Linked DNA regions of Drosophila melanogaster. Changing the gene in region 2 together with the main gene of any one other region gives a genetic interaction. Each region holds a gene or a part of one and is shown on either strand. Other genes may lie near its edges.

Region 1 (5,890 bases), on a different chromosome or scaffold from region 2:
AAGTTTGGATTGTTTATTACGCGATCTAGATGCGGACATAGCTTTCTCGCAGGCACACTTCACTCACGGAGGGATCTCTTCGGTCTCCTCTTCTCTCCTCGGCACTTTTACTACACAAATACAAATTTTCTTATCACTTCGACGGGTTTTGATTTTTTGTTTGTTTCTATTTGTTAGGGGTTGCTCAGTTTTGGGCCACGTTTCCTTGGCAAATGCGTTGGGTTTCTATTTCTGGAAGGTTCTGAAAGTACAAATAAACATAGATGTAAGTACGGACAATCTTGTAAGATAATCAGCTATCTTATATTACGAATGTATAACTGCAATAACAACAAGACAAGTCGTTTGGGAAAAATTACTAGTTTTTCTGTTTCGGCTATACATATGTAAGTTCTATGTATACCTGGCTATTTTATAGTTTTGCAAATAAACCTTGAGGGCATGACTAAATCTTGCGGAACCTGGCGAAACTCTGGAAACTTTCCAATCGAATCTGAGATAAGCCAAGTAAGTACCAGGTCCCAAGGTTGCCCTAGGTCCTGACCATTTCGCAGCCAAAAAAAAACACCGAGCTGGCATTTAATCAAATTCTAATCAGCAGATAGGCAAATAAATATTAAATCAATGACGCAGAAAGGTCGCTGTCGAAAATCACCGGCTATCCGCCGGATTTACGGGCATTATGTAAGTAGATACACATGTGTGTAGATGACTACAAACTGACCACGAGTTTTTTTTTTACTTGTCGGCCAATAAATAAATAAACGAACTGCGTAGTTTGTGAAATTCTAGGAGAACGCGTAAATGTTTTCTGTTTTTTTTTTCGAGTTTTGGTGCGATGCTTTCCCGACGAGCGTTTTTATGAGAATGGGAGCGCTACGCCCGAAACGCCGGCAAATATTGGAGGCTCTTTGCGAGTCGAGCGGCCCACAGAGAGAGCGTCCTCTGCGCAGTGAGGGGCTTTTGATAAGCGCGAAAAAAACCACTTGCCCCAATTGTTTTTGTTTAGCGGGATTCTGCCCCCGCAGCCCCTGCGCTCACACACACATTATGCGATTTCTGGCGCAACCCAACTAATTGTACAATAAACGACCACATCTCTACACACATATGTATGTATATACAAAGATAATGTTTGTATTGCGTCTGCCAACTGATATTACAAACTTATGTACATACATATATGTGCAGGAGGGCGGGGGTGGTAATTGGGGGGTCAGTAAGATGATTCCCTACGGCGTGTGTATCTTCTCCATTGCAAGGAAAACGAGGAAAATTATAACAGTTACGTGACTAAAAACACATGTTTGCGCTGTGGGAGGGGGAAAACTCTGTCGTTTGATCGATACTAGCTGAAACCCATTGATTTTCTGGACAAACCGGTCGCAGTGGACATGAAAACCCTAACTAAGCAAATGTTTTGTTATATTCCATGACACCGGGTAGGTAAATCCGTTAATTTCACTCAGGAAAACAACTTAATGGCACGAAAACTCCTCCACTGAAGATCTCCTGCTTCTCCACTTACCTAAATTGAACACAATTATGCTTTGTGAACACAACGGCACTGAATAAAATAATTGTCTGTTAAATGGGCTCCTTTGCCAAAGACTCTTTGATGGGAGTTCGAGTTTGACGTTCTAGAAACTTTTCCGCTGACCGGCTGCTCGTGTTGGTGTGCGTGTTGTGCTTTGGTATTTTTACGCAGGGGATTTGGGAAATTTGAAGACCCGGTATTTTATGTGAAATATGTTATGTGCAGATGTGGGCCCTGGTCACACTGCCCGCTAGAAGTATATCGATAGGTTCCGATAGGCTCGGACAAATAACATTTCTAGCAATGGAGTCCAATATATATTTAGTTTTTCTATTGACGTTTCTGCTGTACAATAATGCCAGAGGTGGGCATCAATTAGTGTTAATCAATTACCAAGTGCTTGGTGAAGAGAGTGCGCAAGAGAAATTTCGATTTTATGGGGTTTTAGAGCCACATATAATGCCTTGAAAAGTCACTGAGTGTTTTGGGTTTGTTTTCATATGCTGCGGTTCTGGCCAATTGCGTTGCGTATTTGGCCAGGCCAAGGCGAAAAAAGTGCCCTCGGAATGCTGATTGGTGAAAGAAGCACCTGATGGATCCCACAGAATGTATTATATAAACGGATGTCGTGGGCGTTTGCAGCATAAGTGCATTTTCTCAATGATTTACCCACGCACACCACCGTTCTGTGTGTGTATACAGAACTTGCTGGGGCGCCTGTGTGCATGTGTGTGTGTGTGTTAGTGCTGGTGGCGTTTGTGTTGGTTGGGCCGTCCATGTGTGTACATATGTATATGCTATGTGCATATGGTTTAATGTGCATTTGTTATGTTTCAGCCGAAATCAGCGATCATCTGCGGGAGGACATACCGGACTTAGACATGGAGCTCTCCTCCGCCTCATCCGCCCATCTCAATGGCAAGGAGCTACCGGCCGTGCCACAGAACTCGGTGCAGACGCATCCCAGGTGATTATATCTTAAGTCTTGAGCCCATAGCTTGTAGCTCCCGCTTCCGCCCAAAGGCTTTGTATTGCTAATCTCATTTCCCTCCTAATTGCCATGCTGCTAATCCTTAATTAGGAGACACATTAAGAGTAAGCGCCGCATGAAGAGAAGGTAAAACCTACACGACTCATGAACTAAAACATCATAAACTGGTTAACTTTTAGTTAAAATTTTGAAAATATTCATAATTTTACTTAAAAAACCCCATTTTTTTTAAATATTTTATAGTATATTATACTTTTATACCCAAATGTTAACAATTAAAAGCTGCCCGTTTGCGTAACCGATTCTTCTTCAATCTTATTAAACTCTCTCTTTTTTTTATCAGATACAAATGCTACTCCTGCGAGCCGCCCTGTCGGGATCCCTATGAGTTTACCCACACCTGCCAGAATGCGATTCAGGTGAATACTCCACCTTAAACTTGATTAAAACTTAAATGTAACTTAATTTCCGAACTTCAACAGTGCTGGAAGTCGCGCACACGCGATGCCGATGGTCAGGTGCAGGAGTCACGCGGCTGCAGCACCTCGCCGGATCAACTGCCCATGATCTGCAGCCAGAACTCCTTGAAGATCAACGGGCCCAGTAAACGCAATACGGGGAAGTTCGTGAATGTGGTCTGCTGTGCCGGTGATTACTGCAATGAGGGAGACTTTCCGGAACTGCTGCCCTTCGACAGCAATGATGTGACGGTGATAACCGCGGATACCAGTAGCATAAGCAAGATGCTCGTCGCCGTTCTGGGTCCTTTTCTGGTCATCGCTCTGCTGGGCGCCGTGACCATCTTCTTCATTCGTCGTAGCCATCGCAAGCGTCTGGCTGCCTCGCGAACCAAACAGGACCCGGAAGCGTATCTGGTCAATGATGAGCTGCTCCGCGCCACCAGCGCCGGGGACAGTACGCTGAGGGAGTATCTGCAGCACTCGGTGACCTCCGGCTCGGGCAGCGGATTGCCGCTGCTAGTGCAGCGTACGCTAGCCAAACAGGTCACCCTGATCGAGTGCATTGGACGAGGCAAATACGGCGAGGTTTGGCGCGGTCACTGGCATGGCGAAAGCATCGCCGTGAAGATATTCTTCAGTCGCGACGAGGAGTCCTGGAAGCGGGAGACAGAGATATATAGGTGAGCAACAGATTATTTGTGACTCTGTAATTTGTAGCTGTAGAAATTTTTAACTGTTTCCCCAGAAGAAAAGTGCCCTAGTCCAGTCATGACTACCTACCTGTTGCTCTATGAATCATAAATAATCGTTCTTTGTTTTTCAGCACCATATTGCTACGACATGAAAATATTCTGGGATTCATCGGCTCTGACATGACGTCGCGGAACTCGTGCACCCAACTTTGGCTGATGACGCACTACTATCCACTGGGCTCGCTCTTTGATCACCTAAACCGTAACGCCCTAAGCCACAACGATATGGTATGGATTTGCCTGTCCATAGCTAATGGGCTGGTACACTTGCACACAGAGATATTCGGCAAGCAAGGCAAGCCAGCTATGGCCCACCGCGATTTGAAGTCAAAGAATATACTGGTCACCTCGAACGGCTCCTGCGTGATAGCCGATTTTGGACTGGCCGTTACCCATTCGCACGTCACAGGACAACTGGACCTGGGCAACAACCCCAAAGTGGGCACCAAGCGCTACATGGCCCCAGAGGTTCTTGATGAAAGGTGTGTGCTTATTGGCAGTACAAAAAAGAATATTTTTACATTAACAATTTGTCTATTGTAGCATTGATTTAGAATGCTTCGAAGCACTACGCCGGACAGATATTTACGCATTTGGACTTGTCCTCTGGGAGGTTTGTCGCCGCACCATTTCTTGCGGCATAGCAGAGGAGTACAAGGTGCCCTTCTACGATGTGGTGCCAATGGATCCCAGCTTCGAGGATATGCGCAAGGTGGTCTGCATCGACAACTACAGGCCCTCCATTCCCAATCGCTGGAGCTCGGATTCGGTAAGTCGCTTTCGATTGCCATTCTCTAGATCTTTGATCTCATTGTTGTTCTCATTTTTTAGTTAATGACTGGCATGTCCAAGCTCATGAAGGAGTGCTGGCACCAAAACCCCGACGTGCGCTTGCCAGCGCTGCGCATCAAAAAGACTATACATAAGCTGGCTTCCGCTGACGAGAAGATACGCCTGGACTTCGACGAGGTCTGCGTTTAGTGGTAGTAGTCGAGCCTTAGCTGTAAGCGGTAATTTAGTTGTACCACATAGGTAGTCTAAGATTCATTCATTGACATACCCTGCATTTCACACTATTAGTTCGTAGGTATATTATTCAAAGCTAAGCCAAGATCCTGCGTGTTGAAGCAAACTAATCCAAGTACAAGACCCTTGGGAGCTTATAGTTATATAGAAGACTTTAACATATTTACTTTATGTTTGGATTGACTTTATCGTTTCCGTTCCACCGTGAGCCTAGCCTGAAAAGGGTGCCTTTGAAATTGCCTTAAGTTAAAGTTAGCATCGACTCTAATGTATGTTCTTGGGATATCATCCTGTAAAGTTGTCATTTCACTATTTACCATTATTCATTGTTCATCAAGTGCCATTTGCAATTGAGAATTGTAAACGCCTTAACTTTAAGCTCACTCTTTGAACTTTACACTAAATTCATAACTCTAGAACTTGTCCATGCTATGATAAAACCATAAGCCACACCACCAACTGACTTGCTATCTTAGTTAGTTAAGCCTTTAGGACTTAGATACCCACGCATAGAAGCATACACACCTACTTGTATATTGTACAAATGGCAAGCTATTTAAGTTTTGTATAGTCTAAACGAAATGAAATACACGAATAGGCATTAAACTTTGGGATAACTGGGTTTATTTGCTCGGTTAATGTCAATTGTCTGGCGTCAGTACCCGGAAGCTATCGTCGTTTTCTTCGTCTAGGAAGAGCAGACGGAAGATGTCGTTGAAGAAGTCGGGATAGTAGTCGCATGCGCGTTTGCAGTCCGGAGTCCAGTTGATTTCCAGCAACTGGGGCTCCATCAACTTCTCCTTATCGTCCTTCCACCGCAGCATGATGTCGGCTGCGTAAAGAGCTCGTGATTGGGCACAAGGAGCCAGGCCGCAGGGTGGATCTGCTTGACTGGCGCACTGAAGCACCTCGAGCAGCATGCTACAGATCTGCTGCTCCAGAGCCGACCAATCGTTATCCGGATACTGTTCCTGCCAGAGCGTCAGGAAGTCGTCGCACTTGACGTGATGCAGCTGCGCCTCCGTCTGGTAGTTCATCACCGTGTAGTGTTTCTCGTAGTCATCGAAGTGATCCAGCGTGAAGGGATGGTTTGCGAAACGCAGGAAGAACTTCCGGTGTATAT
Region 2 (4,889 bases):
AATATATGTAAGTCCTAGATAGGAAGGATATAAAAGAATATTAAATAAAACGAACATAGAAGATGGTTACCTTGTTCTCATGAAATGTGTGTTCTATTTTTATGATCCTAGCTTGATTTGGTGCTTATGTGCCCAGTTTATAGCATAATTTGTCATAATTAATTTGGCGTCCATCTGTGTTTAGTCTACTGTACATTTCAAAATGCTGCAATACCAATTGTAACCTATCATGATCGAGCAGCATTTCATTTAGTTTCTGCATTTCAAATCAAAAAAATATACATCTTTTATTTTAAAACTTACACAATCAATTGGCGAAAAAATCGATTGCTCGCCAACACTTCTATTTCCCTATAACAAAAGATGCGTTTTTTAAATAAATAAAAAAACCAGTATTTTTTCTGTAAAAGATTTACTTTGCTTGTTTAAATTTTTTTAATTAGAAATCAAATTAACCAAATTTAAAATTAGGGTGTCCATAATTAGTTGTCGACTTTTACATTTCAAAACATTTTCAAGAAGTGTAGGCGTGGCAGATTTGAGCGATTTGTGGGCGTTAAAGTGGAGGTGCCAACATTACTTGACAACTAACTTGCGCTGCGTATGCCTCTTAAATCTTCAGGTCTAATAAAAAATTAGCTTCACTTTCTGGTATCTCTTATAAATAAATAGGAAATAAAGCTATATTAATATTAAGGCATAATAACAAACATCGAAAACTTCCAAAATTAAGCAATTTAAAGTATCTTTCATTGAAATGTAGTAATAATGCCATTGCTCTTATGCTATTATCAATGTGTACTGGTTTCCCATGATACCTTACTATTTAATTTTATGTAAAGGGAACCTTACATATTTATGTATTGGATTGGAATTGCCACTCGTTTCTCGCAGTGTATCTGGCTGGCTCCACACATGGGCGCGTGTATGCTCTCCCCTTACTGACGTACTTAATTCTTCGCAGTTATTCAGGGGCACAGAGAACGCTTCACTTTCCTTCTTTTTTCGCCGGTGACGTAATTAATGATGCTAGCCGCTGAAATTTTAAAATGAATTGCACTACCAAGCAGCAGCTCCTTTCCATTTTGTTCGACGATCAGAGGTCTTAAAATCAAACTTCTGTCAACTGGCTGATGAATTCATTCAGTTTCTAACGTTCGCGATGGAGCTGAAATTCTTATTTTGTGTTCAACTGATTTTTTGAATACATATGTATATATTTTGTACTGAGCTCTGTTCTTGAGAAGGGAGAATCTATAGTCGAGTATATCGGTTACTTGGCTAATGGAAATGCGAACGCGAAATTTTAACATTTTTCTTAGGTAGATATTATTGGGGAATGAAATAAGAAACTATTTAAAAATTGCTTGGGTAGTTTTTGGCGGCTTGTGAGCGTTAGAGTGGGCGTGGCAAAATGGGTCAACAAACTGGCTCTGCGTCTATGTTTATGTATAGAACATGTATGCTTAATCTCAACATCCTAGCTGTACAATAAGACAAAAAAAAAAAAACACATTTCATTGGCATCAGAATCGTTAAGGGTAAAATTGTCACGACTTTCGTACCATGGTTTTGTTTGATTTGATTATGGTGATAACTAAAATTATTTTTTTTTATTGAAAAAAAATTATTGATTTTAATTTTTTTTGTTTTTGTATACATTCATTAAGTGAAAAATCGCCGTAAATTTGATTTTATAATTCGTTACACACGTTTTGTTTCAGTGCTTTGTTGCTGTTGCAACCCCTCAGCTGACGTTCCAGTCGAACATGTTGCATGACGGCTCGGCTTAGTTCGGTTCGGTTCGCTGCGACTCGGTTCGATGCGGCTCGAGCGGCCTGCTCTCGAACAGATGTGCGTCGCAGTGTTGTTGCAAACGCCGGTCGCGTAGGTTGTTGCTAGAGTGAAACGTCGAGCGCATCGCCCACCCACATACACATATGTACGTACTCGAGTGCGCGAAGCAGTCAGTTGTTGCCGCCAATTGAATGGACAGTCGCGGTTAACGAAACACGAAAAGTCGTCTCGACTCGCCTCGCGTCGCGTGGAGTTCACTTGAGTTGAGTGGCGGCTAGTGTGTGTGTGTTTGCTTTTTTTTTCGAACGCCGCCAAACACGCGGCTGTTGCGGCTGTCCCGGAGTGCATTACTCACACTTTTTTTTCGGTTACTTGCAAGTGATACCCCTTAAACGAAAACAACAACAAGCCCCCCCCACCCACACACCACTTCAACCCCCTCACAAGCAGCTAAAGCCAAAAGGTGATTATATTTGGAAAAGTCACGCCGTGGAGTAAATAACGGAGCGGAGAGCGGATCAACACAAAGCGTGGTAAAGAGAGTGGAGAGATAAAGAGTTAAAATAAGTGCATAGAGTGCGAGTGGGAGAGATAGAGCGAGCGAGCGGGAGGGAGAGTGTAAGTGCTGCCCGTGTGTGAGAGTGTGTGTGTCTGTCTTCATGTACGTATGTGGCTTCTTTCAATGGTAGTCGTGTGTACCCGTTGAACCGGTTCAACACTCATCTTCGACTTACCTGCAAAACAACAGAAGCAGCAATGATAACAACAACAACAACGACAACAGCAGCGACTGCAGCGTGGTTTGTGCTTGGAAAAACATGAAAAACTGAAACTGAAGCAAAATGCAGCATCGCCAGAAGCAGCAGCAACAACAAAACGAGAACAACAACGTGCAGCTGCAGCAATTGTAATGTCAAATGAATCAAACAAACTGCATCATTTGCGTTTCCGAAGGCAGGAAAATAAGGGAAAGGCAAAGAAATGAAGAAAACATACATATTACATATGTATATATAAACATATATATTTAGGTATATATGTACGTATGTACGTAAAGTGCAGTCTGCAGTTTAAAAGCCATTAACCCCCAAAAACTGAAGTAACGAACCATCCGCACGGAGATCGCTGTTTTCCCCACTGAACTAACTTAATTCGTTTAGCCAGAATACACTGATCCCGTTGCAAATTGGTGGCTAATATGCAATATGATATTTAATTTGCAACCATATATTCTGCATATTTCACGCGTGTGTGCGTGAGCGCTGTAGGGTTAATACGAGAGCGCTCACTACCTGCGCGCCCTGCCAAGGGTTAAGCACTCAGGCAAGAAGTTTCGCGTGTAATTGACGTTGCCAAAAATTAAGAAAGAAAGAAAAACAAACAAACAAACGCAGAACAAAACAAAACAAAACAAACCAGTAAGGGAAGAACAAAAGCACGAACAGAAATTAGAAGACAGCGAACAGAAGAGAAACTTAACTTTTTCTCTGTTCTTATTTCAGGTTATATACCCTTGCAGATGGCACATTAAATTCGGTATATCGGAATATCATGATCAGTATTTAGAGTCTAATTAACGGTCCACCTGTCCGTTTGTCTGTCCATTTCCATAAAAAAAAGTCTCAGTTTTATAGCTATTGCATCATGTACATAGCTGTCATAGGAAAAATAAGAAAATTAACTGAAAGTGATAAAATAATCATCGGTTCTTAATCATGAAGTATTGCTCGGTATACAGGTGTTTTGTATTATTACTGCAAGGGTATGTAAGTTTCGGCTTACTTTCTTGTTCGCTTTTTTGTGTGTTTGTCCATGCAGTACAGTTAGCCGCCAGTGGTACTGTCGAAGTGTGCGTGTGTTTCTGCGGGTGCTATTACCTTGGTATTATTGGTAGGTATGTAGGTGCGTGTGTGTGTGTGTGTGTGTGTGAGTTGGTGTTTTTGGCGGAGCACTTTTTGTTTTCATGAATTTATCCTTGGGACGAATAAGAACTGCAGGCGAAAGGAGCGAAAATGTAGCAGGAGGACAGGGGAAATCGGGAAAGCTAAAAACAAACAAAGGGATTAGCAAAGATGCGAATATTGCGGCCCAGAAATTAAGACCACAAGAAAAAGTGCCAATAAGAGTTGTTGGGAAACAATTGGAGGATATACCCACGCCCAAACATTTTTGATGTGTATGCAGTGTATGCATTCGCTTTGAGGAATGCTTCATCTGGTTTCATCAATCTTTTGACGGAAATGGAGTTTATACATATGTATACTATCCTAGAAATGCTATAAATTAAAATAGTGCGCGTTATTTACGGAAAATATAAAATCTGTAGTCAAAATTTATGTTTACTACCCTAAATTTTTATGGGTATTAAATGGTATAATATGATTATGGATCTAATTTTGGGGCGCCTTTTTACTACAAGCCAAATTAAATATGACAGAAATGGAATTTTTCGATTTAGGGATGCGTACGACTATTATGATTTCCTCATGACGAAAATAGATTTTCCACTTCAAAAGACAAATATTCCCTACTCTTTCTACTGAGTAACATAGAAAAGCGGTGCAGAAATCTACACTTAATTTTTGTCTCACAAAACACTTGGATCAAACAGAAACAACAAATTTGGTACCCATACAATATGTACAGTTGCCACAAAAACGATCAAGACCAATTAGAAATGTGTATGTATGTATTTGATTGAAAGCAATTATTAAACAAAATTCACTTAAGTATTGTTTTTTTTTTTATTTTCTACATGAACCATTAATCGAAATGATACTAAAAGGAACATGTGAGACATTTATAAACAAGCACTTGAAGCCATATGTACATACATACATAGCATAGATTAGTCGTCAATCTTATAGATAAAATGTTGTAAAAAACGTTCTGCAATAAATAAGATTTACAATTAAAAACCAAATAAGCACATGAAAGGGATTTTCTTTTCTATGGCTTTGAACATCTCACATCTGTAATATTACATTCAACCCAAGTAAGTGTAATTAAAGATTATCCAAGGAAAGCCTGAATAAGGATTTTAGAAAAATCATAAATAACGTTAAGCAAAAAGTACTTGAAGAGATTTACCT

Evidence for each region. Genes that interact genetically often act in the same process or in processes that back each other up.
Region 1: of kek5 (region 2) and sax, changing one enhances a phenotype caused by changing the other (phenotypic enhancement), as found in Drosophila melanogaster (one study listed by BioGRID).

What each region holds. Positions count from the first base shown.
Region 1 is NT_033778.4:7,804,698-7,810,587, forward strand, and holds sax (saxophone), read left to right. Parts: upstream 1-1,786; 5' UTR 1,787-1,840; coding exon 1,841-1,901; exon of another isoform or gene 1,902-2,315; intron 2,316-2,374; coding exon 2,375-2,504; intron 2,505-2,618; coding exon 2,619-2,654; intron 2,655-2,871; coding exon 2,872-2,947; intron 2,948-3,010; coding exon 3,011-3,669; intron 3,670-3,812; coding exon 3,813-4,223; intron 4,224-4,284; coding exon 4,285-4,510; intron 4,511-4,572; coding exon 4,573-4,722; 3' UTR 4,723-5,370; downstream 5,371-5,890. Other genes in the region: Nop17l (Nop17 like), read right to left, coding at 1-39; TTLL12 (tubulin tyrosine ligase-like 12), read right to left, coding at 5,409-5,890.
Region 2 is NC_004354.4:19,351,324-19,356,212, forward strand, and holds the start of kek5 (kekkon 5), read left to right. Parts: upstream 1-1,857; 5' UTR 1,858-2,330; intron 2,331-4,889.